4 linked regions of the Caenorhabditis elegans genome follow. The protein of the gene in region 3 interacts with the protein of the main gene of each other region in a pairwise test. Each region holds a gene or a part of one and is shown on either strand. Other genes may lie near its edges. The genes, in order: cup-2, prx-5, F27C1.4 and Y38C1AA.7.

Region 1 (7,743 bases), 5.0 Mb from region 3:
AGTGACTAAAATGTTTTAGGCACAATTCTCTTTTTTTGTATTAAAAATACAAATCATTACCAATTTGTTTCTTCATTTTAGTGCTGAACTATACAAAAATTGGTTGTTTTCATTAAAGAATTTTTGAAAAATTGTTAGATGCAATAAGAAGTAGCCTATGTACATTTGATCTGAAAACTGTACAACCATCTACAGAAAAACGAATGTGAACTTCTGCTCGTAGAATACAAAAGCTGCGAAAACCGACATAGAGGCTCTATGGCTATGCCAATTTCTTGAATATTCGAAGTTATATTGCAACCTAGTACTACCTTGCTTTCAGACTACAGCGTTCTCCTTCACAATAAGAACAAATGTTTCAGAAAAAAGTGGGGAAGCACGTCATCATCATAATGATTGCTTGCTCCTCCCTCACATTGTTGAGGTGAGAAGTAGAAGATTGAGAGGGAGGAAAAATGAAAAAAAAAGAGAGAATATGTTGTCGGTGCCGATTCTATTCAATTTGCTTCCTTCCCTCCTTCTTCTTCTTCTGCTCTGGAAAAGGACATTCTGCTGCTGCTTCTGATGTCCTCGGCGTATATGGAACAATTATTAAACGGCGTGTGCGATTGGAAGGAACTTTTTTACAAGGAAAAATAATGCTAATACATTTTCTAGATGGATAGAGAAAGGGGACAAAAATGTTCCAATAAAGAGAAAATTTCTGAGTACGCAGTTACAATTTTGTAATTTGTGATGTGTCCATCAAACACCTCAAAAAATTTTGAAAATAGTCTTGAATTTGGTAGAAAACACTTGCAATTTGTTAATTCTTGCAAATATGTGTATTTAAATTAAATTGATGAATATCTCGTCGCGATCGTATTCGAACCTACAGTATATCCTACAACTTTCAAGAAGCGTGAATTTATGCTAATGGGTCTCACCGCGAGGATATTTCGATACTTTTTTTTCAATTTTCATGGATAAATTAAACATAATTATTGTAGGAAATATATATAATTTCAACAAACATCGCAAAAATACAGTTGCCGGTCTCAAAACGACTGAAATCTGCTAAATGAAGATTGCGAAAATGAGTGTGCGCCTTTAAAGAGTACAGTAGTCTTCCACTAGCTGGATTGCAATCTTCTTCGATTTTCCCTTTGTTATTCTACTTTTTTGTACATTACCTCTAAATTTCCCAGTTTTTCATTATTCCGGCACAAATAAAAACGATTTTTAGTGAGAAAAACCAGACAACCAATCGGGAGTGGAGTACTGTACAGCTCAAAGGTGCCCACTCAATTTTACAACTGCAGAAAATTGAAATAGCAAGCATAGTAATTCTTCACAGTACCTATTAATTTTGTTGATTGTTTATTTAAGAAAATGTTTATTTACTGAATTTTGGAGCTTTTAATATTTTTTCGAGTGGCTTCCGACAGCTGTTCTATAGTAACACTAGCGTTCTATTTTCAAATCTCAAAAGCAACAAATCAGTAGAAAAACAAAGAGTTTAGAATAATACAAGAAGTAGAGTTATCCTTCTTCTCTTTCTCTGAAATGGGCCATTAGGTTCAGCCGTCGTTGGAAGAGTTTGTCGTGTCCTCTTCTCTCCGACAAGGCAATTTGTTATCCCTTTTCTTCTTTCCCGCCCCCCGTTTTTGACATACTTATTTTTTGAAACTTTATGTGTAGAGCAACAGACGACAACGAAAAAGACAAAAATTTGGCGGCGACAAAAGAAAAGACGAAAAGGCGCAAAAAAAAGGTGACAACAAAGACGAATGAAGTAGGAGACAGAGTCTTGAGTCGTGCGAAGCTTTTATTCGATTCTGGCTGTCGCATCCACTTTGATCTCATGCTTTCTGAATTATATTATGATGAGCTGAAACAGTACTTTAGATGACTTTTTATTCGTATCTTCTTATTTACATGCGTGATACAATGAAACTGACTCGTGACTGATGTAATTTGGATGTTTCCCAATAATTATTTTAGGGGCAAGGCAATACAAGGAAAAAGGAAATAAATTACTAAATATAAGCACAAACTGAATGAGAATCACAATTGTTAATTTCCTCCAAGTCTAGCTCCAACACCTCCTGGCCATTGGTGTCCACGTGGCTGCTGTCGTGCTCCTCTGATGTTTCCATCTTGACCGTGAATACCTCCGTCTTCGTCAGGAATCAAACGATGCAAAAATTCAGGAGTGGAGATCAAATCAACGCCGTATTCGTCTGGATATTTAAGAGCCACAAAGAAATAGGCATGTCCAACCAGAATTCCGACAAGTTCGTTGGTTCCACCACCACGGAGAACGGCATTGAAGCCCCAGAGCACCCATGGAAGGTAGCGAGCTGGGAATCGCATTCCAAACCAGAACGATACAATTGTGTCCTTGTTGACTTGGCACCAGACGTAAAGTACTGAGATCACCATCGGTTCGAGAAGGAAGTAGATATCCAGAGCCATGCAAAGTCCCTGCAAATTAATTATTTCCCATTTTAACACATTTATCTTTGATTTTTAAAATTATGCAGGATATTGCAATGTTATTTCCTTTTTTTTGAGCCAGCTTTAACATATTTTAAATTATATCTTCCAAAATTCGCATTAATAACTCGATAAAAGAGAACATTTAAATATAAAAGTTTTGGGATTTAAAATTTTTTCAGGATATTTTTAAAACAAAGATTTAAAACCGTACCGAGCAGAAGAACCAGTTGAAAATGAGCATGAAAAGGTAATCCGCTGATCTTCCGCGATATGTTTCACTTTCCAATGCTTTTGAATAGTTGTAAAGAAAATAGCACATCATCAGCCAATGGAATCCCGTCTGCGGTGTGACTGGATAATATATTAACGCTGTCAGAGGCCTCCAGAACTGAAATGTTTAACAATTAGTCTTATATAATTTCTGGACAAAATAATAAAAGTGTACCTGGAACTTGTTGACTACGAGATCCCATTGTAGAAACATCCATTGTACATTGATGAATCCGAATCTACCGAGAAGCGGTATAATTGTGGATGCGAGGAACCAATATCGTGTCACAATAGGGATCCCGAGAAGGAAATTTTCTAAATCCATCTGAAAATGTATTGATTTGCAGTGAAATATTGAAAAGGACAGATGAAAAGAACCGTAGAGAATAAAAGCTGACGTAGGATAAGGAAATACATACGCGTGTACCAAATTATCGATTTTTCTTTAACATGTTGAAATTTATGTTTTTCGCGCACCAAAATTTTTTAAATTATTATCAGGTTAATATTTCTGTTCGATTTTAAGGTATCTATACAATAATTGAATTATTTCAAATGAGAAAAATACTTTTTTTTTTACTTTAAGCAAAAACAATGGAAATCACAATTTTCTCCTTTAAAACGTTTTATTTTCCTCCGATAAAAAACCATTCTCAAAAATTCTTATCAATAATACTTAAAACGAAGTATTTTTTGTCATTTATGATAGTGTAATTTTCAAGACTTGCTTGACGCAGTGAAAACGCTTTGAAACCGAGGTTTTTATTGCTCAATTCCATGAAATTATGTTTAATATGTTGAAAATAAATATTTTAGTGAAAAATATACTAAAAATAAAAGATAAAAATGAAAAATAAGAAGAAAAAGAGAAGCATAGCAACGCTTTTCCACGCCGTCAATGCACTCTGGCGGGCAAATCGCTTCGAGACCCATTGACCGTACCCCTCTTCTCTCGTTTAAGTGAACGTGTCTTAGTCGGTCACACCACACACATAATTGATCGATTTGACGCTGAATTGAGATGGAATAAACAAGTTTTGCCACCTGTTCCATTTCCTTCAGATTTATTTGCAATATCTCAATGCTTTTTCTCCGCCAAAATTATTGATTTTTCCTTTAAAACCATTTAAAATGCACAAATGCCGCCCGTCTCGTGACTTTTCTCTATTTTTAAGTCGTTTTATGGCTTCTTATCACATTTTCCTTATTTTCAGAAGAATGACGGAAGATATCAACGTTGTGCCAGAACAAGTGTCACCATCTGATGATGTGGAATTGACGATCCGACAGGCGTACCAGGCAGAAAGCGATCTGAAATTTTCGTGTCCGACAAGTTGGACAATCAAAGAAGTCAAGGAGCATGTAAAGAATTGCCTGAATAATCATCCGGTGAGATTATAAATTCTGAAAATCCATAAAAAATATTTTGAATTGTTTTAGGAAGTTGTCACACAACGGCTGATTTTTTCTGGAGCTTCTCTGAACAACGAACAGGTTTTGGCAGACGTTTTAAGAGAAAGGTGAGTATTTCTTGACTGTTAATAAAATTCTGTTATAAAAATAAAGAAAATTTCAACAAAGATGGAAAATTTTGCAATTAATTATAAACTGAAATTATTTTAGAAATCATGTCGCCGGTGAACAAATCTTCTTTCATTTGATGATCGCACAACCATATCAACAAACAACTCCAACTGCGGATGTTCGTAGAAGAAATGTAAATAATACTGCATCAAATCAAAAGTGAGTTTTAACGTTTAATAGATATTTTAATAATTATTTGAAAATTATGTTTTTTTGCCGAGAAAATAATATTTTTAATTTAAAAAACCAAGTTAATTTTCAGTTCGGCATCGGGATCGGCTCTCAATGAATATGCTCAGAACATGGTTGCCTGGCAACAGTACTGGAATGCCTACAATCAACTGTCTCCGGAAGCTCAAGTTTCCGAGCATCAGCGATTAATGGCTCACTACTACACATACGCATCGACAACTCCCGCTGCACCAATTTATCAAGTTCCCGCCAACCAACAGCTTCAACAAAATGCAGTGGCGTGGAGAATTCGAGTTCAAGGGGTGGCCGCTCCCGCTCGAGCCAACGGAAATCAAGGAGCTGCAGCGCCAAGACAGGGAAGAGTTGACATTTTGGAAGTGGGATATCGAATTTTCAAAGTGGTTTTGCTATTTTCTGCAATTCTTCTCTACTCGTCATTCGAAAGATTCGCTTTAGTTTTATGCTCGGCACTATTCATTTATTTCATTCAACTGCGACGAAATCACGCTCGCAATAGAGTTCAAGCTCAGGCTGCTGCCGCCGCTGCTCAGCAAGCAAATAATCAAGAACCACATGTTAATAACAACAATAATGGAGAGAACGACGGAGATAATACGGTTGGTCTAGAAAAAATATTTTATTCATTATCATGTACCATTCCAGGCTCCAACCACGGAAGGAGAGACACCAGCAACTTCCGATGCTCCAGTGGAACCACCAGCTCCACAACCAACTGGTATGCAAGTGTTCATTGCCACTTTATACTCATTTGTCACCTCCTTCTTTGCATCACTTGTTCCTGATCATCCGATGCCGATGGATCTGAATTAAATCAACTTCATCATCATTCCACATGTATTCATTCTAACTTTATTTTCTTATTTGAAGCCCCTTGAACTTTATCAGTCATTTGGTTATATTCTCTCACCGTCATCCCTCTTCCACTTCTCCCGATGTATACTGTACAACTGAAGGGTCCTTTTTCTTGGAAAATCTGACTTCCTTTACACTAGTTTCACACCGTCTAGACACTCTTTTTTGTGTATATGTATCTTAATATCGAAGTTTCTTCTACTGCGGGTCTCCCCACTCTTCCCCTTTTCTCTTTATTTTCGAATAAACTTTATTACGATTTGTTCAGAACCGTCATCTCCCTCGACGTCGATTATGCACGTTGGAAAGGACTGGTCTCCTCTATCCCTTCCATTTTTTGACCACTGTCCATTTCTGACCATCACTTGTCTAGTTTTTCCTCTTTTTCCTCAAATCGTCGTCATACTGTTCGGGTGTCGTTTCGTACACACTGGTTCGATGCTTTTGTTGGAAATAGTATTGATTCATTAGCCTTTCGGATATACAGCATAAAGGTCAACTAAAATATCTTGTAGCGAAAACAACAGTATTTTTTTTTAAATAACTACTGCAGCACTGATGTCGATTTACGGGCTGGATTTTCGAGTTTGACAGCGATATTAAATGTTCCTCTAATGTTTTTGTCATTTCTATGTTTTTTATATACATCATCAAAAAATGGCAAAAACCGCAAAATCGGACCAGCGTTATTTACAGTAATCATTTAATGAATTACTGTAGTTTTCGCTACGAGATATTTTTCGCGTCAGACCACAAAACCATTTCATATTAAAACAACAATAAATTATTGATTTACCAACACTTCTGATCCATAATAGGTGATCAGTGAAACGAATTTTATCAGTTTTTAATTAAATTGAGAAATAAAAGATTGGAGAATAGGAAAACTTGATTGGGTACTTTAGAAAGGGCAAGCTTTTCGGATAATGGTTTTTAAATCTTTGTACAAAGATAAATGACATTTCTTGTGTGAAAATAGGCCTAGACCGGCCTAGAAAAGTGTGTCCGCGTGATGGTGGACGTGGAGCAGTGTGCAGTAAACCAAAATTCCACATATTTTGGTTTTTCACTCAAAAAAATTACAACGTCAGAAGAAATACATTTCAATAACTTTTAAAAACTATTTTTCGATAAGATTCATTCGCTCCTAATTATGCTAAATAACCTCCCAAAGTCTCAAGAATCGGTATTGAATAAATCCCTGTTTTAAACTTCACCGACATGAATATTTGACCTCATTCCCTTAGGTTTCGTCATATACGAAAACCGTCTAAGGTTTTTTCCATCCACTTTTTTCCTCAATTCTGTCGTTGTCATCGTCCATCAAATTGGCACATGCGTGAGGTATCCCCTCTCATCTTATTCTTTTCGTTGCGGGAGAGTTGTTTTGTATTCCGAATGACCTAGTTGCCAGTAGATTTGAATTGAGAGAGAAATTGAGAGAGAAATAGAGAAGTAGAGATGGTGAAGGAGGTCCCGGGTCGATGGCGCCAAGGTCAATTTGATCTACGTTCGTCTGGGCCTCTCGTCTCGTTTTCGATTGTTTTGGTGTTCGGTTCATAATATGATGAGAACCAAACATTTAAAATAGGAATGTTCACAGCTTGGCTTCATTTGTTGAATAAAATTGAACATAGTTCCTAATCTGAAGTAACAAAAATAAATTGTTGATGTCTGATTCTCTCACGCACGAATTTAGGAAGTAAAGTAAAGATGGAAAGTTGACCTAAATGTCGGATTGATGTAATCAGACTACATTTATACATTTGATACCGAAACTAAAATTACCTTCTCTCATTCCCGCCTGCCTTCCGCCTGGAAAACGCCTTTTGAAGAATATGAAATGCTGATAAAATCAGAATAAGTACGAATAGTATCACCTTTACGACAATATTAACTCTTCGATTACAGGTTTTTTATATAGGTACTGAAAAATATCCGAAGAAAGTTAGTAAATTACAATACGGATTGAACTTCATAAAACTGAACTTCAGTAGATTTTTAAAGAGGAATTTGGCTTACTATTAGGCTTATGCTCAGGCTTAAGCTTAGGCTTAGGCTGAGGCTAGGCTTAGGATTGGGCGTAGGCTTAGTCTTAGGCTTAGGCATAGGCTTAAGCTTAGGCTTAGGTTTAGGCTTAGGCTTTGACTTAGCCTTACGTTGAAAGTACAAACAGTGTTTTATTTTTCCGTGCTTATCAAAAATACACCAGAAATTAATGTTTCAGTTATACTAAAAATAGCAAAAATTTGGCACACCTCGACCCGCCGGAATGTCTTATTTTGACAGGGATTTAGTTTAATGAAAAGCGATGTTTAAGGTATATAAAGTTAGTACTAGAAA
Region 2 (8,596 bases), on a different chromosome or scaffold from region 3:
TAAATTACTTATATTCAATAAGTCTACGTATGAATGTTTAGACATTGCTCGCAATAATTTTTCCCGTTATTATTTGAATTTTTCAAAAAATTTCAGGCTCTATATGCGTTTTGCACTAGTTGCATGTCATCTGATTTATTATTCACTGCTCAATTTCTGGCGTTTGATATGTTTACTGTTGGGTAGGCGATAACTTTTTGATGTTTAATGCATTAAGTTTCAGATCTGCTGTTATATTATTTTGGAGTAATAGCCAGATACGTGGATTAATACTTCCTTCAAAAGCAGAAGACGATCGGATTTTCAGAGTTCAAACGATCAATAACTCATTTACTCATTGATCTGAAAATTGAATCAGTTAATAAATTTTTTTAAAGGTTTTAAATCGTTTTAGAACATACGTTTGATTGTTATGTTTCTAAAAAGATTGAGAACTTCCAAAAACATTTACTTTTGATTCTGTTCTCAGATTCATGAGTAAGTCAGCTATTTATTCTTTGAAAATATAGATTTTTGAAGCAGAAATAGTTTGTATTTGTTTGTTTAATTATAGTATAAAAGTTGAACCTTTATTGAATTACGTACATATTTACGGAATTTTTATACAAATTTCGTTGTTGAATTTGATATTTTCTTTTCCTTCTTTTTTTTCCCAACTGATTCATACAGTTTTTCGAAATAAGTCTGTAAAATTTAAATCATTAATAATAACGTTTTGATATCAACCTCTAAATTGTTGCACAAACAGGGTTTTGGTGTTGTTGGAGAAAGTGCTCCAGGTAAATAGTCTGAATCTTGACGACGATGTCGAGTTATTCTCGGAAGATACACAGATCTATCATGCCAGTGAGATGATGAATTATGACAACTTCGAAGAGAGCACTGAATTTTTAAAATATTTTCGTATATTTATACTTTATCAAAAACTAACCTTAACGGCTTCAAGAACAATTGTCCACCAAGTAACTTCACCTTCTTCATATGGACTTAACAAAAGTAGAAAATGAATAAGATCCCAACTGATGCGATCTTCCTCTTCTTCTACACGTTCTTTGTCTTCTTCTTCAAAATTGGCAGGTACTCCTGCGGGTTCTCCATTCAATATTTCAGGTACTTGACTAATAACAATAGGCGCTGAAACATCTGCAACGTTGGAAACATCTGATACTTCCGAAATAAAATGATCCTTTAGAATCTCTTGATTTTTTAATTGTTTTAGTTTTGGTACATTCTGAGCAGTCGGAATATTTAAAGAAGTTTGCGGGTTTTGTGTTCCAGACGAACTTCTTTCATATTGAATAGTTGCAGAATTTGAAGTCTCTTCTGGAATAGCCGATATTGGCTTATTCAATGGTTCTTGAATATCGGGATCATCTACATGATCCCTGCGTTCCTTCATTTTTCCGCCCAACTCAGCAAAATGGTGCTCGTTCCGATTTCGAATTTCACTGTCTTCTGGTTCTCCTGAAACATGCTGATGATACAGGTTAATCGTCTACATCTAATGAGTTCAATATGAAAAAAATATTAAATTGATTCTAAATGTTTCACCTTGTTCATCATGATCTAAATCGTCTTCAACACCTTCAATAGAAGGCTCCACAGCAACAATATTAGGTGTTACGGTGGTTGATTGCCTGAATTTAGCTCTTGTGAAGTTGTCCAGTCTACTTTTCAAGTTTAGGTCGTCTTTGATATTAAGTTCAATGTTGTCTGATACTTCGGAAGCTTCATGGACAACTCGTGGCTCTGGTTGCATTACAATACCAATGTTATCTATTTCTTCTTCTAACTTTTCTCCTTTCCCAGCAATCTATAACTAAGTTTTAAACTTTAGAAGCAATCTTCAACTCAAAACTCACATTTGATGATATTCCTTCAAACACTTCATGTTCTGCTGCAGAATCAGATGCAGTGACTTCTATATTTTGTGATAATTCTTCTTGATGACATTGATACAGAGAGAATACAAAATAAAATATCGATAAATTGAGCCAACAAATCATAAATCAAGAACAAGTTGAACTAAGATTTCCAGGGGAATATTACAGCTATTGAAGATGTTTTGGATAGAAGAGAGGAAAAAAGAAAGAGAAAACTTGTGACTGTGCTCCTCTCAATTGGAGCTGTTTCTCTCGGATCTTCTTCTTCTTCAACCAGCTGTACCTTTTCATGATAAATGGCCATGTCATGTGCTTCAAAGACAGAAAGAGAAAAGGAAGAATGTGTTCGATGACCGGCAAATAGAAAAGAGTGAGACGTTTGGAAGAGGGTGGCGGAAAGATGATAATAAATAGAATCAGTCATATGTTCCGAGGTTTTACTCATGGAACGGTGACTCATGTGGAATTTCTGAGCATTTTGTAGAAATTCACCGTAAGAGAAATGATAGGATTTGATTACTTAGTGTCTAGAAGTCTTGAAGAATGTTATTTTAATTTAGGCATTATTCAATCATTTCATTGAGCTCTAACAATGTGAGTTCTACAAACAAAACAAAATGAGCTGAACACTTTTTGTGCTAGGTCGGTTTACTTCCTGCTTTCTTACCGCTGTAATAACATTTTATGACCCTTCCAAACTCGTGATCGGCTTGAAATTGAGATTTTCAAAATGAAAGTTTGAAAACCAAGTAAAAAAATTCGAGGAAAAATAATTATTTATTTTAGTATTTAAATTGTAATTATTCTAGACTAGAGAGGCTTTTACAGCTGCCAAATCTCGTCTTTCCACTGCTCTCAGTAAATTGTCAGGGACATTCGATGTTCGGATTGCTGCTGATCTGAAATTTGTGAAGGTGATTTTAACATATAAAGCTATAAACTAACCTCATAGTTGTCCAAATACCAGATGCATCATTTCCTCCTTTTTGCAATTCTAATGCAGATAAAAAATGTTTCAAAGCTTCATCATAAGATGATAATTGCATACAAGATATTCCCAAATTGTATCTTGCTCTGACATATGTTGGATACAATTTCAAAGCTTCTCGATATGCTGAAATGGCTTCAGCTGTGTGGTCACCATTGGCTAACGTAGCACCAAGACGATTCCAGAGACGAGCATCAGTTGGATTTTTGGAGATCGCCAACTTGAGAGAGTCGACAGCTCTTGCAAAATTGCGATTCAAGTTGTATAAAACTCCGAGAGCATTTTGAAGATCTGGATCTGGAGTTGCTCCTTGTTGCCGAGCAGCATCCAAGAATCTAGCCTCAACTCGATTAAAAGTGTCACTGTCCAGAAATGAAGAGTAGAGTGGAGGTGTGGTTGTCACTTGAGTCGAGTTTGAACCCTTAAAATATTTATTCGTGTGGGATTATTCTTGAAATAAAAATAAGAAATACCAAGTAAGAAGACATCCATTTATCCAATTGATGTAAAGCTTCATTTTCCATTCCTTCGTTCGCTTGACTGACAGACAAACCAAGAAGTGCCTGAAATAATTTTGATTTTATTGGAAGTTTTTTTTTTTTTTTCTTAATTTCTGTTCTTAAAAAGTTTTAAGAGACAGATATGAATTTTATCGCGACCTATCTATTTTATGGCATCAAATAATCAAATATTTTTCTCAAATTTTACCTCCTTGTTTCCAGCGTCAATCTGCAAACATTTTTGGAACGCTTGCATTGCTAACTGATCTTTTTCATTTTCAGCATGAGCCAATCCTAATTTACACCAGGCACGTGCATCCTGAGGATCTTTTTGAACTGCTGCTTCATAGGCAAGCATGGCATTTCCAATATCTCCATTTCTCATTAGATTGTCTCCTTCCATCAGTGGATCTGACATGGTTGTGAAAGGGTTTGCTTCCTGAATAGGAGGGTTATAAAAATGTGTTAAAGAAGACAAAAATCTTACCTGATAAACATAGTTTTCAGGACTTTGAAGAGATTCGTCCTTTTCCATATCTCTCTTAATTTCCTCCCATCTCTGTTCAAAAGCCTGTGCATCTTTCCAAGTGTTTTCCATTCCATAATTATCTTGTTGCTCCATAAAATCATCAGCCCAGTTTTGAGTCCCAGAAGATTTGGTTAAAGAAGTATCCACAGTATCCAGATATTCAGATGACCACATACCAGCATCTGTTATTGGTTGATGTGATGACGTGGATGTCATTGATGGAGCTTGAACTTGACGCCATGCAGATTCCATGCTTGGAGCACTAGATGTGTATTGTTGACTCCATTGACTCGCTAACTGGTTCTGAAGCAATCAATTGAAAATACCAATATATGAATGCATTAGAAATACCTGTCGCGGTTGAAACTCCTTTGTCCAATTTGCTGCCAAACTTGAGGATGCTGATGCCTGTGGTAAATTATTCTGCATCGACTTCATGCTGAAACTTGTTGGAGCCATTGTTCTCGCTTGTTGTCTTAAAAATTCATTAGCCATTTGTTCTCCCATAGAAGAAGATGGGAGAAGAGAAGCTGCAGCTAAAAACTTTTTTTTTTGTTAATTTTTACTTGAATATTTCCAGCTTACCATTACTCGGAGCGACTCTTTGATTGGATGTTCCAAATGTGTTAGCTAACCCGACAAGAGCATTCTGCTGTCCACATTGTCCTTCTACAACTCCTTTCATTCTGTAAAAAATTGAAGAATTCGAGAGTTAATTGTTGAAAAAAAGTAGAATTAAAAATGAAGAAAAATACAATTTACAAGAAATATATAAAATAAAGTGTGAATTTTGATTGAAAAAGAAAATAAGTGGGCCCCAGTGTAGTCTTTTCATCAAATTGATTGATACTACATTAGGATTTAGAGTGAAGGAGACGTAGTGATAAAAAGATAGTATTGTCTTATCAAAAAGGATACAATTGATGAAATTTAGATAAGGAACAACGGAGGTCGACTATCGATTTCTGAAATAACCGGGAAACGTTTATGGATTTTTTTTCCAAGTTTTCCTAGCAAGATTGAAAACGTAATAAAATAGAATACCTTATTGTAAGTTTCCAAATTTCAATCCTTCAATTAGATATTCTAGTTGCTAGTGGAGTTATCCTAGATCGTTTTAAATTAAGCAAAATGGATATTTTGCACTTGGTTTGATTTTCAACAACACGGGTTTCTGGCTCGACCCGTCGCCCCATTGCACACTTGCACGGGGGAAAAATATTTGATTGTGCAATAATAATAATAATTTTTCGTGTGCAAAAGACAAATTTTGCTCGAATGAAGTTGTGAATTTAAAGAGAGTTCCCCCATTATTCCATAGCTAGGATTGATGTCATCTGGATCAAAATTTCAAAGATATCGAAACTGGCAGGAAAAACATTATTAACCAAAAAAATGTCAAGACAACCTTATTCGTCGACTGCATACATTCAGTTTTTTCCCCTATTTTGACATATTCTGTATACCTATAGGTTTTGTAACTATAAAACATTCCTTGAATACTTTTTTGTATAATGTCATCATTATTATATTTTCTTTTATAAACAAGGCCTATTAAAATGTCCAATAAAACTACGAAGATATACACAAAAGGTGTGATTTTATAATGTATTCCCTATAATTTAAACGAAACGAAACGAAAACGGGCGGCCCCTTGTACTGACAATTGACGGCATAAATATGAAACACGAAATGGTCTTTACATTCTTACTGATGATGGTTAGACCAGAAGCTTCAACCTCCAGAATTCCACGTAGAAGAACCACATTTACAGTGGAACAACTATATTTACTCGAAATGTATTTTGCACAAAGTCAGTATGTTGGATGTGATGAAAGGGAAAGATTGGCAAGGATTTTGAGTCTAGATGAATATCAGGTTTCTATTGTTTTTAGAAATCTATTCTCTATTAAAATTGTTTGCGAAATTTATCCACCAGGCTGAGCTCCAGCAACTTCTACGTTAAGTCTAACATATCCGATTGTATGTTGTAAAGATGTGATTAGATCAATCTAGGAAAAAAATAAAAAATTTTTAAATCAGTTGTTATCATTCAATAATTTTCCGAGACGTAGCACATTACAGGTGAAGATTTGGTTCCAAAATCGTCGAATCCGGATGAGAAGAGAAGCCAATAAATAATAGTCAAATATTTATTTAATTTCATTTCACTGAAATAAATTTTGTAGTTAGAACCACTATTTCCAACATTGAAAACATCGCTTTACGGTTTTGAAAACTCCTCGAGAGCAAATTCCTGATCATCTGACACTTTTCCAGACATTAACCCATTGTCTTTTAACCTGACAAATTGTCGATTTCTTGGACAAACAGTCAAGTTGGTAGGCGAGTCATGGGGAGTACACTACATAAATGAGTTGTGATGTTTGATTTTTCTCTTTTTTGTATGTTTTGCATTGATTAGAAGCAGCCAATTCTTTCTTAAAAAATAATAAACTCATATTGTTTAAAAAATCATCTAGTGCATTTTAATTGGAAAAACTGGCCAAAACTTGCAAAAAAGCATAAAGTTATGGGAGACTTGAGAACGTATAGATTGAAAAGCATATAGGTTTGTGCACACGGCGCAACTTTTATTTTCACAGTTTACCTTTGAAAAGAACACATCTAGTAATACTTCCTTGTTTTTTCATCAAAGTGACCGTTCATTCACTCAGCGATCTCAGAGTGCACTATTCTCCCAATAGTCAATACAATGCTTTGATAATTCAAGAGAGATGTTTGCTCACTTTCCGCAACTCTTTCCGTATTCCACCTGGCTGTAGAGGTATTTCCCTCTGGAAAACGCTCAAATTTTTAATTTTTCCCGGAATTGAAACAATTCAAGATAGTGTTATCAACTTATGTGGTTGACTGACTACTTTTAAATTTCCATCTTTATTGTCTTGATCATTCATTTTTCAATTATTATTTAGTTGGAAAATAACTCTCCCATTGATCAGATCTGAAATCTCAAAAAAGTACTCTGAAATCCATTATAGTTTCCTTTCTACAAAATGGTTTTGATTACAGTTTCACAGCATATAGTTAGAAGATTGAAATTAGATACTTTATGTTTTATGAAGTTAAAGTATAAATACACATGTTTAACCAAACTGCATGATTCATATCCTTCCTCAATATAAATTAATCCACACAGGTTCCCTACATTTCCCATTCCTTGTCTATTGCCCTGCACTCTTAATTGTTCCCCATTCAACCTACGTCCTATTGTTCATTTAATGTTTTCATTCAAACATTTCTTACCACGTGACAATAAAACATTGTGTCCCTATTTTAGAATTTTGTTTTTTTCAAAAAACTGAACACATCAGTACTCGTTCATTTTCTACTAACCTTTTCTGTGAGTTGTTTGCAGTGTAAATAAGCGAAAATGTGTGTAGCGTTGCAGTGCTCAATAAGTCTATTTTATGCACCATAGCAACTCGCAATAGACTACAACAATGTTTTTAACGCTCAAAAATCCTTGGTTCTTTAAAACATTGAAAAATAGTAAAAATGAATATTTATAAGGCTAAATAATTTCCAACCCAAATTTGTTAGAAAAAGTGCATGTGCTTTGCATATCGATTTTCTGTAAAATAAACATTTCCTTCCAAGAACTGTTAGCTGAACGGTGCCAGCGATTTAAGATTTCAAGCTTAATTTGAAATTATATTAAATTGAGAAAACCGTACGTCTAAAAATGTTCGTACAGGTACTTCGCACTTAGTTAAGCCGTGTTCAACTCCTGTCATTTCTCATCTAACCACTCTCTTTCTCTAACACACTCTAACCATGACCAACTCCTTGAGCCCCTCATACCTTTACATTAACCAAAATGTTCATAGTAGTGGTAACAATTTTTGAAAATTATACACAATGGTACTCTTCGCTACTAACAATATTCAGTCTAACTATCAAACGAAAGCTAAAGACAATTCGGAGTATGCAGGACTCTACATCAAAGTGCACTTGCACCGAACATCACATGGGCGGGACAATTTGCTGCTGTTGCCGATCGGATGCTGAGGAAAACGAGCAGCTCACAAGTGTGATATTGAGCAGAAAACCACCGCCACAGGGTGAGTTTTTTTTGGAAAAGTTTAATATTTTTCTAATAACGTAATTAATTTCATGATAAATTGTGATTTTAATTGAAAAATATTTCAAGTATTCATGTTTGAAAAAGAGCTATACATGCGTCTAGGCCTGAAAAGTTTCACGACGGGTGCATTTCTGCGTAGGATCCGCTGCACTGTCGTAAAATGTGATGCTTTACCGTAGCTAAAAATCCTTTAATTTATTTTTTCTTTAATTTTCAAATCAAATTTCAATTCAAATCAAAAGTTGTTTTGAAAAATAATTGTATAAATGTTCAACTCGTTTCATCCGCTTGTTAATGCTGGTCATTGATCCCTCGATTAAACCGCCTGTTGTTACATAAAAATCGATATGCCAAAGACCACGCAGCCAATTTTCGAGAATCGTTTGTTTATAATATCTCACAAGAACCCACTTAAACTTTGGAATAATGGAAGGTTAGGATTTTCTTAGAATTTTAGCAACATAATAAATAATTAATTCAATAATTTCTTCCCATATTCTATTTTAAAATTATTTTACAGAACAATGTCGTGGAAATCTTCTTGTTTTCATCAATCCTAACAGTGGAACTGGAAAAAGTCTGGAGACT
Region 3 (7,084 bases):
GAAAAAGGCAAAGCAGAAGAAAAAGAAGCTACTAAAAGCGAAGGAGTCAGCGAGAAAAGGAACAATTGGAAAAGTATCATATGTTGATAAGAATTATGATCCGAAGATGGAGGCTAAACGTGCAGAAACTTTTGATGAAAAAGTGGAAAAGGCAGTGGATTCAGCTGGAGTGCATGCCGCTGAAAAACGACAAAAGGAAATTGAAATCGATCCGAGCAAATTTCTAGAGCTCAACACAAACGACTTGACACAAGTTTCGTCGGATTTTGTTGAGAAAATGGATCAGTTTGATGAAGGTAAGCTTAATCTTTTTTTTTCTTTTTATTAACTATATTCCAACGATTTTTTCCTGCAGAAGCCGCTCAAGTTATCAATGAAGCTTTCAAGGATGATGACGTCATTGGAGATTTTGAAGATATGAAAGAAGGAGTGAAAGAAAAGGAAAAAGTTAAAGATGTAGATCTCAATTTGGCCGGATGGGGCTCATGGGTTGGACCAGGAATGACTGAGAAGAAGCGACGCCAAAACTTTGTGATTAAAGCAAAAGAGAAGAGAAGAAGGGACGGAGAGAGAAACGGAGTAATTATTGCTGAAAATATGACGGCTAAGGATGTAAGCACCTGATATATCTCCTAGATTTTTTAATTGCAAAAATGAGCTTTCAGGGTATCGGAAAGATCCAGCCACGTTCTCTACCATTCCCCTACTCCCGAGTTGAAGACTATGAGGCTGTGCTAAAACAACCGTTGGGTCTTGAATGGAATATGGAGAAGATGCGAGATGAGTTGTGCAAACCTGCGGTTGTTGTTGAGGTAAGCTTTATTATATTTTACAGTTTTATTGAACATGAAAATTATGTTGAAACAAAGAGAAGGAGAAGAGAACCGTGAACAGTGGAAAAAAACGAGTGAAAACAAGGAAAGAAAGGCATTGGACTGGGAGTGTGTGATGGGTTGGACCTGAATTGTTTCAAACAAAAAAAAAGTTGATAAAACAACAGATGAAGTGGTTATAAGTAGGGAAAACATGAATAATTTAAAAATAATTAGTTTTGATCATCCGAACTAGACGAAGATCTTGCGAAGTCAATGACATGGCAACGATTCCTCCAAATCAACGAAAACGTTTTCTTCCGTGGTGATTCCTCGAGCGTACTCGTACATTATGACATACAAAGCATGATCATCGAGCATATCGTAGTCTTCCTTCTCGTCCAGTTGTTCCTTGGAAGATGCTTCCACCTCTGCAGGCTCTAAAGTCTCTAGCTTCTCTGGTACAGCTGGTTCTTCTTGTTGTGGAACCTCTACGAGTTCGACTGGAGTAGTGTCTTCAGTAACCGCGTTGACAAGTGTTCCGACGGTTTCAGCTGCAGATGTGACCATTTCTGATACGGAATTCCAGATGGAGGTTGCATAGGAGAAGTAAGACATTTTGAGAACTTGTGGTTCTGAAAATGAAATAAGTTTTAGTCATTTTAGATAAGGAAAATATGAATAGAAGGGCTGAGGAAACAAACACGCAATTTCATAATCTATTGTGCCAAAAAAGGGATAGTTACGAAATCGAGGTAATATGGAAATCAAACTACATAGAAGAAATTAAGAACATAGAGCCTAGGTAAAAAAAACGACGGACGACTGAACACCCAACGTATGGCAGGCTGCCAAATAGGCGTGACTGTGCACAAAAACGCTCGATCTGATGTAACAGTATACACCTTTGTAATCAATAACTTTCTGGCGGCTAACGAGACCATTTGATTATTATTCCAACATAGTAGAGGAAGAGAAGAGACAATATAGAGTCCCAGAATATGGATCAATATAATAGGTTTTTGAGAGTTGGTCTTTTTAAATTTGGTTTAGAAATAAGTTTCGATAAGTTTTTAAAGAATACAATTTTTAAAATCTTCATATTATTTAAAAATGTAAATCGAAAATAATGAAAGAAGAAACTGTATATATTAGAGAATCGAGTAGTAGTAGTGTTTAGAGAATTAGAGATAAAAAAATACAGTACCCCTATGAGACTCAGTGCAACCTTGCATATGCTCCCCTAAAATCATATGCAACTATTTGGTTTTTTTTAAAATCAAATTGCACAATATTTCGAATTTTCAGCCGAAAGAAAAATTCAAAAATTCTTGCAACTTTTGTTCACAATAAATTTTTTCAAAACTGATTTTGATATAATTTCGGAATAGGGACCACTTTTTACATTTGAGACAGCTCTTTTCGATTTTAAAATATTTAGAAAGGTGTATAATGTCACAAAATATAAGCGAACATCTATCATCTGTGCATATATATGCACTGGCACGGGAGACAGGAACCGAACGGCACATGTGACGAGTTCATTTTGATGTCACAAGCTTTTCCCTTTTTCGTTAAAAAAAAAGTAGACTATAAAAACAAACAAACACTGTTCTAACAAGAAAATATGCAAAAATGAACACGCAAACTGGCGAATGTTGTTCGAGTTGTAATAGGTTGCGAAATTAACCGATAAGAAGCTCGATATTCTGTTATTAATAGATTTTTTACATTAAGTATTGCCCATGATTTCTAACACCTCAAATCCCTGTTGTCTTTGAAATTTCTTGTCTGAAGTAGTTTTTATTGCCAAGGACATTGTAGAATTGATCACGTACGAAAGTTTATTGTGAAACATTGTGAAAACCGGTAAATATTACCGAAAACATGACATAAATTGGACAGTAATATTAAAATAGACCCGAACATGTATAGGATTTCTTCGTTCATCCCAGATCATTTGGAATTCTTCATCCACTCGTAGTTGTTTTGCACCATCTCAAATTGATTGTGCCTGATTGGACCCGTCTCGTCTGGATTCTCATGGATCACTTCCCATTCGATCGATGTATTTGGTGACGATGCTCCTATCGCCTCCTGGTGAACATCCTCTGTCGTCTCCTTTTTATCCTCTTGAAGATCAGACGACGCCGCCGCCGCCCCTTGTTGCTCCCATGAGAAGACTTCAGAAGAAGCCGTGGCATCCTCTGAGCCAGATCCCCACTCGAGAGCAGTCTGACTGATTTGTGTTAGAGCCTGTGTTGCTCCTTCGGCAAGTGCAGAAGCTCCTCCAACAAGGTTCGCTGCCTGTTCTGTGACTGCTGGGACGACGGTTGTGGACATGAAGGTGTAGAGTCCATTGACGATGGAGTTCATTGTTTAGTTGTAGTTTTCTGAAAAAAAATAATATATACAAAGAGACAAGTTAGACCGGCAACGGAAGGAAAAAAGAATGAAAGTGAAAGTTCGAACGGAGTAGGATTTACAACAGGATTGACTTCATAAAAATTTAAATCAAGTGCATGTATTTTATCCTAGTGTACTATCTGCCTAGATTTTTTGAATCTAGGTGTAATATTTACGGAAAAAAAAGAAAATGAAGAGACAAAGTAGATATATCTCCGATGTGCTCTTTCTACCACCAGAATGCGAATGGCAACTAATGACTAGTAACAGAATAAGAAAGACGAGAAGATGAAGAGGAACGCTGTGTTGTCCTTACGTTCTTCCTATGTCTCTTTCTCTTTTCTCGTATCGGACAATCCCTCCCCTTAGATGTGTGCGCGCGCGCTGCTTCTCTCTCTCTATTCACGTTTATGAGAGAACGAGTCATATTATAGATTGTGTATGTTGGTTAGAATGAGACGCAGGAAACCGAATGCTCCCAAACGGGTGCAGGTCATCTTTTTGTGTAGAGGTTGGTGGGTGTTCATATAGATCGGAGAAAGAATGACGAAAAATGATTGACAAGAGAATACATATTTGGATTGGCTCACACCTGTATTAATTGAAGAAGATCAGTGAGCTAGCGAGGAAATTTGAATAACTTTTAAAAATAGCAAGAAAACTTCTAAAGATTATCATTGAAGAGGAGCAATTTTCTAGACGTTTTAGTTACAGTAATCCCTGTGTTACAGCAAATCTTGTCTCCTCTTCCAAAAAACCATTACAGTAATCATAAATATTGGAATTATTTGAAATCAACCAACAAAACTTGCAATTGAAAATTGTTAGAATCTATTTAGAAAGAAATAAAAACATCAAATATATGTTTACACCATGACGAGTCACTAAAACTAATCGAGTTGTTGACTGAAAGTAATTCAAAATCATCGTTCGGCGCCGTACATTCTGCTGGGTTTTCACACGTTCCTATTACATTGATAAGAACTTGAAATGTTTCAAAACATTGTTGAAGCTCGAAAGAAAATCGATGATGTGTGTGTTGCTTCTAGGGACAGCTTTTCCTCACTCAGCTGTGAAATGCTCTTCTTCTCCTTCTCTTACTTCTTTTCTCCAACTATTTTCACATTTTTCCCCTCATGAGTTACTAGACACAAATTTTGAATAAAATTTCTCTATTTATAATATTTATATTTTCAGGCTGGAAGAGCTATTCGTCCAATCAACAAGAAGCATCTACTCGGAGAATAATTGGAAGAATTGTTAATTTTTTGTTGATTTTTTAAAAAAACTTTATTGTTGGTTTTCTCTCTTTGAAGTGTCACCTGAAATGTTCGTTGTTGTTAATTTTATATGTTTTCTTTACGGTGAAAGTTTAATTGAGACCATTTTCTCATTATTTTCTCAATTTTACATTTCCTGTAATTCTTTAAATGAAAAACAAATTTTTTAAAAAATAATTCAATTATAATCAGTTTTTTCGTTATGGTGGATATCCCCAGCAATTTATTTGAAATTTGAAAATATAATTTTTGTTGTTAAAATAATATTTTGAAAAAGTTGGCAACGAAACCCAAAGTTTTGAAATTTTGAAATAAAAATCTCAAAAAAATGTCTGCTTTTCGCTTTCGAAAGTATTTAAAATTTAATTTTTTAGGGTATTTCTCTATTTAATCATGTCTCATTAAAATCAACATTAAATATTGAACTATTCTTCATTTTTCCAGATATTTTCTAGAATTGTTTTTTTTTATTTTTAAAAACATTTTTTGTCGGTTAAAAACCACTAAAGATTTTGAAAAAAAAATTTTCCATACTTCAATTTTTTAATAAACGAAAAATTTGGTTTAAAAAAATCTGAAAACACTGCAACAACAAGTTTTTCTGACAAATTTCTCACAAGAACCTGCACCTTCACTATTTTTGAGAAAATAAACCCCAAAACGTTTTTTTTTTCGATGTTCAGTTTTAACCAAAAAAAAAAGGTTTTGATTTTTTTAAATTCGAACAAAAATTTATATTTTTCGGTTTTGAAAGAAGAAGTGAATCTCGGTGATCAGCACGGAATGGCACATGCTCTCAGAGAGATACAAGCACACAGTATTCTCATGAAAAATCGTTTGTAAAGCTGCCCCATCCACGCCCAATTCTCATCGCCAGTCAGCTTTTTCTCCACTTTTCGTTTGCTCTTTTCCGTGTGCTCACTCACTCACCCTGCGCCTCTTCTGATTCAGCGTCTGTGTCTCTTATAATTCAACACTTTTTCCACTATTTTTAATACCCCGGGCGGTTTGTGTGACCAATGCTGGCCAAAAAGTACACGTGTCTTTTGCCGTTCTTTTAAATTTGAATATGCTGCATTCAGACATTGATTTTTATGTTTTGAGAAATGTTTTACAACGTCTTACCCTTTCTAAACCCTGCAAAACGCCATTTTCCGCACTAAACTAACTGATGATGAATATGCGTTTACAACCAATCAAAAACATTCGTTTTGAAACAGACCAATCAAGAAACTCTTGAACTTTTTGTTTTCCTATAGATCGGTTGATAAGCATACTTTTTACAGCTGGAAAATCATTTAAATGTTCTTAACATTTGCCTTAAACATTTTTAAATTCCCTATAAATTCTCAAATCGAATAACAAAAATTTCAGAAATGCTGCGGTGGTTATCCCTACTTCTATTCTGTCCGGCTCTACTGAATGCTGAAGTTGTTTCATTGACATCACAAAACTTCGAGCAAACTATTCGTGAGCTGTCTTCAACTATCTATGGAAAATATGCTAATTATCATGTTTCAGAAGCAAATGAACTCGTTTTCGTGAATTTCTACGCAGATTGGTGCCGCTTCTCGCAGATGTTGAAACCCATTTTCTTGGAAGCTTCGGAAAAGTTCAAAGATGCGGCTCCGGGCAAGATTATGTGGGCTTCAGTGGATGCTGATAAGAACAGTGAGTAATAAATTGGAATAATTCATTTATTTTTATGAAATTCAGACGACATTGCCACAAAATATCATGTTAATAAATATCCAACTCTGAAGTTGTTCAGAAATGGAGAAGCCGCGAAAAGAGAGTACAGGTTAGTTGCTTAATTTTAATTTGTTTTTTTTTTAAATTTAAAGTTAATAAAAATATATAAAAATTTATAATTTTGTTCAAAAATTTTCTTATAAAGATTTGGCAAACTGTCGAACTTTTAATAAATGTGCAGAGTTCTAACCTCTACACCTCCTCCTTCTCCTCCTCTACACCTCTACACTCTGAGAAAATTTTTTTTGGTCAAATTCCAAAATTATAATATGTGAAACTAAAAATTAAGATATTTCAAAAATTTGTTTTACTATGATATTAGGACATTTTAGCACTATAGGCTGCAATTTTACACAACTTTTTTTATTGACGATACACTTATTTTTTTCAAAAAAATTATTTTAAATTTTGAATTTCAGAAGTTCCCGATCCGTGGAGGCTCTTAGCGAATTCATCAATAAACAAATGGAAGTTACAGTGAAGAAGTTTATTGAGAAAAATGCACTTCAAGCTGCGCATAATGTGAGTTTCACTGAAAATATTTGAAAAACCAAAATAAATTTTCTATTGTGGCAAAAAGAAGGTTTCAAAACTAAAAAAGTATATTTTTCAGCCAGAAAAGAACACATTTATTGGATATTTCCATGATGAAAACAGTGTCGAGTACAAGAATCTCATGAACGTGGCAATGTTTTATCGTGATGAATGTGAATTTATGGTTGGAATCGGAGATTTGAACTTCCCTGGAGAGGCACCGGCTGCTGGTCAACCACCGAAACTCGTTTTCCAGCCATCTAATAAGGCTGTGAATCCAGCACAGATTCCATTCTCTGG
Region 4 (7,469 bases), on a different chromosome or scaffold from region 3:
GTTCGAAAGGCGAAACAGAAAGTGAACGTTTTTTTAAAAACAGATTCCTTACAGCATAACATACCGCCAAACACCTTGAGGTATACATTATATATATATATATATATATATATATTCGTTTCATGTTTTAAAACATGGTCGGTTTGTTTTCTCTGACGATATAGCATTAGATTTTTTGTGAATAACTCTTTTCACCGTACAATGTCTGATTTTTATACATAAATGCGCAGCCGATTTATGAGCTATAGCTATTATGACAGAGAATATATCGATAAGAAATAAACTGTCATAAATTGAATACAATACAAGTAATTATTGCTATGTCTTAAATATCTTGCTATTTCAATTAAAAAGTAATAACAAATCAAAACCAAATTGAACAACATTATATTTTATAGGAATGAAAAGAAAAAATGTTCGAATTGTGTTTCAAACGAAGGGAAAACTGCAATAAGGGAAACAGTACATGTCTTAGATAATAATTCAAAATCTAACATATGCTCAATCCACGTAGTCTTGAGCAGTTGCATATAACAGTTATCATCTTCTGGAAATCGCAAAACTCAAACGCAGTGTCCATGAGAAGGAACTCGCTGCCAGCCGGAAAACAGCCGAAAAACTATACGTTGTCGGCTGGCGGGGCCAGCCGACAGCCGAAAAAATCAGCCAGCCGCTCAGCCCTGCTCGCTGGCACCTCCAGTTCATCATACATACATTCAATTAAAACTGAATTGTACTTTTGAATAAAGTCATGTTAGGCGAGATCACTGAAAGCGTGTTTAAACTTTCAATTCTTTTCAGAAATGAGATAACATTCTCGATCACGGAGATTTTGTGTGTCTTGTGAGTTCCATCGTTACAGAATGTGGCACGATTCCGGGTATTGTTAACTTGCTCTGCAGAACTATTTGAGTTAACCTGAAAAATATCGAATGATGATAAGAGACTTGAACCCGATCATGGCTGTGGTCAGACTTAAAGCAAAAAGTTAAGCCTTGCTCAGTTCTGTTATATGCCCAAATTTGGCTGTAAAGCTTGCAAAGTATGTTTTCCAAGGATTTCTTTAGAAATTTTAAATAAAACGCTCAAACGTTAGGTTTATAAAATCATAGAAAGAACATACAAACTCACATGTTTGTAACGGTGCAAATTCGAAAGTACCGGCTCATCTGACAGATTATCCGAAATTGCGATCGCTTGAAATTTAATGTTTGTATGCTTAAAAGCGTCTATTTTGTTGCAAGCCGGACAATTCGGAGACATTTTTCGGTCAAAGCATTGCTCACAAACCGAATGTTTGCATACTCCAACACGAGATTGTTGATTTGATTCATCTAGAAAATTTTGATTTAGTTTGGCGTAAAACATCGTATTAAAGGCGGAGTGGCGCCAGTGGGGAAATTACTTTAAAACATGCCTATGGTACCACAATGACCGAATATCATGATAAAAAATTCAAAAAAAATTTCCTGATTTTATATGATTTTTTGAAAATAGCAAAATTCTCAGTTTTTGCCTAATTCCTATTTGAATTTCCGCCAATTGAATTTGTTCGATGGAGCGCGCTTGCACGTTTTTAATTTAATTTATTTTATTTTTTGTTATTTTCCACCAATTTTTAATGTTTTCGGTGTATTTTTGCTCGAATTTTAGGGAAAAAGTCAAAAGAAATGCAAATTTTCGATTAAAAAGCTCGCTTACAAGCGTTAAAATGAAAAAGAAACGCTTTTAAACGATTTCGAACCTAAATTAATTAATTTAACTGATTTACGCGTGTAAGCGTGCTTTTTAATCGAAAATTTGCATTTATTTTGACTTTTTCCCTAAAATTCGAGCAAAAATACACCGAAAACATTAAAAATTGGTGGAAAATAACAAAAAATAAAATAAATTAAATTAAAAACGTGCAAGCGCGCTCCATCGAACAAATTCAATTGGCGGAAATTCAAATAGGAATTAGGCAAAAACTGAGAATTTTGCTATTTTCAAAAAATCATATAAAATCAGGAAAATTTTTTTGAATTTTTTTATTATGATATTCGGTCATTGTGGTACCATAGGCGTGTTTTAAAGCAATTTCCCCACTGGCGCTACTCCACCTTTAATGAAATATCTACAATATATTACCAAGTTTAATAAGTTAAACAAAACTTAATTAAATTGCTACTTACCGAAGAATTGTGAACACTTCACACAGAAAAATGTGCGACACAAAGACATGTCTACAGAAAATTACAAAATGCAAAAATGGTAAGCACCTACCATTTTATTGACGACTGATAAGGAGTCCGATAAGAAAATAACTTAGGAAAACTGAGGAAACTGAGAAATTCTGAATGGAAATTGACAATATTTTTTAGAATTGCTCGAAACTACGCGAGATGATATACGGCAAATCTTACGAAACGTGTTACGAAACTTCCTCTCTATTTCGGACAAGAATTCTTTAATACGCGGAAGTAGAAAAATATTTTGCTGACCTGTAACGTTTTTTTCAGGGAGCCTCTGTTCGATCTCAAGAAAATACAAAACAAAAATCTGAACGAGAATAATAATAAAAACTCCAATTTATTCCATTTATATCAGATTTATTTTCTTCGTCTATTGGGCTGGTGGAGCAGCAGCTGGATCCTGTGCTGACGGTGCAGCACCTCGTGCAGAACCTCCAGATTGTCCCTTCTTCAACTCATAAACCTCAATTCCGAGTTGTCCAACGGCGGCGAGCACATGGATGAGCACGAAAAGCGAGAAGAATGCATGTCCAGAGACACATAAGAAGACGAGGACACCGGAGAGCGCTGGCACCAGAATCAAGGCAGCAGACTTTCCACGAACTTCATTCTCTGACGATGAAAGAACCTTGTTGAGCTCCTCGCGACCATCCACGTTGAGACCAATGTTGTGAGCTGAGATGGCAACTGCTCCGCCAAGGAAGATGAAGTAGAAGAGCTTAGCAAGGAAGTTGCAATCTTCGAGGGAACCGAATAGGACCAACAGGAGCTGAAAATTATAAAGGTTTTAGATGAAAAAGGCTACATTTAGGGATGACCGGCAAACGGAAAATTCGGAATGCTGAAAATTGCCGAAAATGGAGTTTTCCGACAAACGGCAAAGCCGACAGATTGCCGTTTTCAAATTATCGGGAAATTCGGCGAACCGGCAATTACCCTTCATTGCCCACACAGAAAATCTTCTACGCTTGTATTAAAATCCCCAAGGAAAGACCTGGTCAGGGCGAGATCTTTACAAAACCTCCCAGAAATCCCCAAACATACCTCAAATGAAGCACAGACGATGACGGCACCACGGACGTAGAGCACGTACTTGTTGAACTCGTATGGTGGGATTTGATCCATTGTAGCTGCGAGAGATCGTTGTCGAGCGAGTAGAAAATCGGTGATGATTCGAGCAGAGACTGATTTGATTTCACATTTTTTCGAGCTTTTATACGGACGAAACTGGGGCAGATTAAACGTGGCGATAGGGAATTGTCGGGCCGATGCGTGAAATTATTTTATTTTTTGAAAACCCTTTAAAAAATTAAAAAATTGAAAATTATAACTTTTTTGTTTCACGGCCATTTTTGAATTCCTAGTTTTCTGCCATTTTCAGGAACTCTAGGACATATTAAACAATGTATTGGGTACGCTTTCATAGTTTAGTTTGTAGTTTGTAGTTTGCACTTCCGTAGCTTCAACTTTATAGATTTCAGTTGTTAGGAAAAGTTTTTGAAGTGGAGTTGCACGTTTCAGTCTCTTGTCTCAACTCTATAGTTATCAACTTCAGGTCTGTAGTTTGTAGTTTGTGGTTTGTAGTTTACAGTTTCTAATTTCTAATTGGTAGTATTCAATCTGTAACTCGCGTAACAGTTTTGGTTTAATTTGTTTAATCTGAAAATTCTAGATTGCATGGGTATAGTTTATAGTAATATTATATTTCGAAATCTGTGAAAATTGCAGTTTGTAGAATTGTAGTTTGTAGCTCACGAAATCACTTCCATCGGTTGGTTTTTTCCACAAGTTACTATTTTGTTACTGTTAAACACCAACAATTTACTAGCCGAAATGCTAGAAACTGGAACTTTTCGACAATTGTTCCTATTGTTCTGAACCATCTTCAGAACTACTTTAGCCATCAAGTATATAGCCTAACTAAAATACAATAAATCTGACCAAAAGAGTATCCTCGAAACAACCACCCCTCCTATTATATAATCATCTGGTTTTTTGGATCTCGCCGATTTCGACACGCTTCCTGACTTTTTTCCCTAATTTATCCCCCTAAAACCGGCCCACCCTCACGGGGCAAAGGTGGAATAGGGGCACAAAACTGTTACGTAACCACGCCAAATTGTTACTTTTGTGTTTGTGTCGTTATTTTTTTGTTTAGATTTTGTATTCTAATATGTATAGTGTTTTGGGAATAATATCTACCACTTTTTTGTCAATTGTCATCATGAAAAGTTCCAAGAAATCAACTTTCAGATAAAAAAAATGTTTGTTAAAACCTCCGCGACAATTTTTGGAATTTTCCTGGTCTTGGTCACGTGGATTCATGCCGAAAAAGTGCACGTGATTGAAGTGGACGATGTGGGAAATAAGACAATTTCAGGAGAAGTTGAAATTTCAGGTAAAATATATAATAAAGATGAGTTAAGAAAATATTAGAATTTTTTTAGAATTTTTTAGAAAACATTTTGGAAAGTCCCAGAAAGTTTTAGAAAGTTTCAGAATTTTTTTGGAATTTTCACAGTGCTCCAAAAAAATCCAAGAAGTATCAGAAAATTTCAGAATGTTCTAGTTTCTTAGGACAGTCCAGAAAGTTTTTAAAAAAAGTTCTCAACATTGCTAGAGACCACCTGGCAGTTTTTAGAAATTTTCAATAAACTTCAAAATATTTTAGAATCCTCTAGAACTTTATTAGATCCTCTTTTCTAATCGGGAAAATTTTAGAATCGTTTAGCTTCCAGAAACTTCTTCAAAAATTTTTATAGAAAATTTTTCAGAATCAGGTAATTCAATGGTTTATTTTTCGAAATGACGTGTACCAGTTATTTGATGTATTACAATTACTAAAGGATCGTATATCAAATACCTTTTCAACATCAATTATCTCCCGGAGTGAACTTACGAACTTTTCAAATTGAAAGTTATCTAGTTTTTTTGTTGGATAATTTTATTTTGAAATTTTATTTTCTCTACCTCACAGTAAATAATTTATTTAGATGTGGAAGCCGAAGAAAAAACTGACAAAAAGAGGGAAGTTGATGCAAATGATATTCAAGAGGAAGTGAAGGCTGAACTCGACAAGGCGGTCGGTTTTTTTGGCGCAAAATTTAAAATTTAAATTTTTCTGATAAGTTTTTGACACTGCAGAGGTTCTAGTAACTTCTGTATAAAACTAGATAGAACGTGCTAGAAATTTATAAAAATTCTGGAAGCTCAAGAACCTGGAAGCTTTTAGAACGTCTTTTGGAAAATTTAGAAGAAAAAAAACCAGATAATTTTAGAGCCTTCTGAAAACTGCTTGAATTTTTTTTACCTTTTGAAAATTTCTGAAACATTTTTAGAAGCTTTAGAAGCTTCTGGTAAAATTTAAAAATAAAAAAAAACTCCTAGAAAAAGTTAAAACCTAGGGATCTTTTGAAAACCTCCAAACGTTTTTGAATTTTTTAAAAGAATTTTCTGTAAACTTTTAGGAAAGCTGGTAATTTTTAAAATCCCGTGAAAATTTCAGAAAGTTTCTAGAATTTGAATTGGAATTTCTGAAAAAAATAATTGAAGATTTCTTACACACTCTGAAAATGTTTGAAACATTTCAAGTTTTGATTCTGACCACTTTCAGGTAGAAAGTCTGAAAGAAACTGCTCGAGAACGTGAAGAAGAAGAGAACAGTCTCCTATCCCGTTCAAGCCTCGAATCCTGCGGAGCCATCGACTGTAATCACCGTGGAACTTGTCTCGGAACAAAGAAAACATTCCTCTGCGCATGCCAATTGGGATTTTCTGGAAAGACTTGTGAAGAGAGTAAGGTTTTATCTTTTAGTTTTAAGGCTTTACTAATCGGCAGGTGCATCTATCTGCCTTCATACTAGATTGCCTCCAACCCCTACGTGGATTATTTTCAGCCGTTTGCGACTCGGCTCGCGACTGTAACGGACATGGATTGTGCTTTGGAACCACTAACCAGCTGACTTGTCTCTGTAACCTTGGATACACTGGAAAACGCTGTCAAACTCCGATATAAGGGGTTTTATATCTTTATGAGCAATTACTAACAAATGTTTTTGACCGCTTTGTAAATAAATATTGATTAAAAATACAGTGTGTTTTATGTTTCACAGATATACCTAAAATCCTTAATTGTTCAAAACAAAACAAAGATAAAATCTCAAATATACTTACTTCTCTACAGACTAAGGTTGTAATAGTACCACCTGTCATAGTAATAGCGGCTGCAATAACCTTTGTAAAAGGCCTATAATAACAACATAACTTGGTACATTGCATTCATATTCCAATGTCTCTAATTTATGACTACCTAACGACCCTAAACCGTGTAAGGCTCCATACACAAGGTCTCAATCTACTTCCCAAAAGTGGCATTCGTCCAAAAATTCCAAAAGTCGAAGTCATCTCACTCTCTATTGTTTTCGTTAGCTCTTCTCACGTTCCGACATGTTCATCTTTCAGTAATTACCGCATTGATACTCAGTTGTAGTATATACTCTTACCTCAAGAACAATACATTGATTAGATGCGTCTGAATGCGTCCTTCCCGGTGGCTGCCGTGCATATTATTTTTAGTGGCTCTCCCTCTGAGAGCTGACAAGTGCTAACACGGCTCCCCCAGAAGAACAAAAGAATATTCCTTTCATTTACATTTTGAGGTGCTCTTCCTCAACATATACACGCTTTCTTTACTTTTTTCTACACCTACTTCCATGAGCTACATATATCCAGTTTGGAATTTACATAATTTTCACAGTCGAGAGTCTTTGAGCTCCTAAAAATTGCTCAGAGCCCGAGCCCAATGTCAATTTTTTAAAAAAACATTTTGCATTGTGCTTTCGGGCCAATTTTCGGAAATATTTGAATCTCTGCACACCACCTCAAATTTGTCCATCTTTCCAAAAAAAAAACAAAAGGTTATCGTTTTCCCAAATTAATCGAAACATCACCCCCCCCCCCCCCCCCATCTATAAATTGATGAGTTTTGTCGGTATTTGATGGAGGGGACAAAAAAGAGAGACAAAAGACATGTCTCCCATGTACCTAATACCTCCAAAAAACTTGTGCATGTACATTTCCTCAAGTACCTACCGAAAAGGGGGAAATAAGAGTTGCGCCATCAACGTAGGAGGGGGAGGGGGGGGGAGGGGTGTTATGTAACAGGATGGTACAAGTGGGGAGGCTTGGATGGAATGGGAATATTGGAAAACGAATGCGTGGGGGAGAGCTTATGAGCTCA

What was found.
Region 1: the proteins of F27C1.4 (region 3) and cup-2 interact in a two-hybrid assay, tested with the Caenorhabditis elegans proteins (one large-scale study listed by BioGRID).
Region 2: the proteins of F27C1.4 (region 3) and prx-5 interact in a two-hybrid assay, tested with the Caenorhabditis elegans proteins (one large-scale study listed by BioGRID).
Region 4: the proteins of F27C1.4 (region 3) and Y38C1AA.7 interact in a two-hybrid assay, tested with the Caenorhabditis elegans proteins (one large-scale study listed by BioGRID).

What each region holds. Positions count from the first base shown.
Region 1 is NC_003279.8:10,397,102-10,404,844, forward strand, and holds cup-2 (Derlin-1), read right to left. Parts: upstream 3,077-7,743; coding exon 2,927-3,076; intron 2,870-2,926; coding exon 2,693-2,869; intron 2,467-2,692; coding exon 2,056-2,466; 3' UTR 1,889-2,055; downstream 1-1,888. Other genes in the region: tag-353 (Ubiquitin-like domain-containing protein), read left to right, coding at 3,970-4,140, 4,192-4,271, 4,375-4,494, 4,598-5,144, 5,191-5,358. UniProt on the Caenorhabditis elegans protein: Specifically required for the degradation process of misfolded endoplasmic reticulum (ER) luminal proteins.
Region 2 is NC_003280.10:8,700,814-8,709,409, reverse strand, and holds prx-5 (TPR_REGION domain-containing protein), read right to left. Parts: upstream 4,587-8,596; 5' UTR 4,586-4,586; coding exon 4,486-4,585; intron 4,437-4,485; coding exon 4,252-4,436; intron 4,204-4,251; coding exon 3,859-4,203; intron 3,811-3,858; coding exon 3,580-3,810; intron 3,435-3,579; coding exon 3,345-3,434; intron 3,293-3,344; coding exon 2,829-3,292; intron 2,783-2,828; coding exon 2,689-2,782; 3' UTR 2,650-2,688; downstream 1-2,649. Other genes in the region: srg-15 (Serpentine receptor class gamma-15), read left to right, coding at 97-182, 224-341; cup-16 (uncharacterized protein), read right to left, coding at 601-684, 727-882, 932-1,464, 1,552-1,813, 1,863-2,006; Homeobox protein ceh-7, read left to right, coding at 5,581-5,778, 5,986-6,042; sphk-1 (Sphingosine kinase 1), read left to right, coding at 7,742-7,985, 8,529-8,596.
Region 3 is NC_003279.8:5,418,890-5,425,973, reverse strand, and holds F27C1.4 (uncharacterized protein), read right to left. Parts: upstream 3,189-7,084; coding exon 2,769-3,188; downstream 1-2,768. Other genes in the region: utp-14 (Small-subunit processome), read left to right, coding at 1-296, 356-612, 666-812, 4,416-4,466; erp-44.1 (Thioredoxin domain-containing protein), read left to right, coding at 5,282-5,333, 5,873-5,968, 6,020-6,169, 6,215-6,299, 6,670-6,772, 6,864-7,084.
Region 4 is NC_003282.8:154,915-162,383, reverse strand, and holds Y38C1AA.7 (DUF7087 domain-containing protein), read right to left. Parts: upstream 3,423-7,469; 5' UTR 3,357-3,422; coding exon 3,276-3,356; intron 3,001-3,275; coding exon 2,602-3,000; 3' UTR 2,548-2,601; downstream 1-2,547. Other genes in the region: Y38C1AA.19 (RING-type domain-containing protein), read right to left, coding at 721-918, 1,132-1,334, 2,172-2,220; gegf-1 (EGF-like domain-containing protein), read left to right, coding at 4,494-4,629, 5,225-5,313, 5,845-6,025, 6,127-6,245.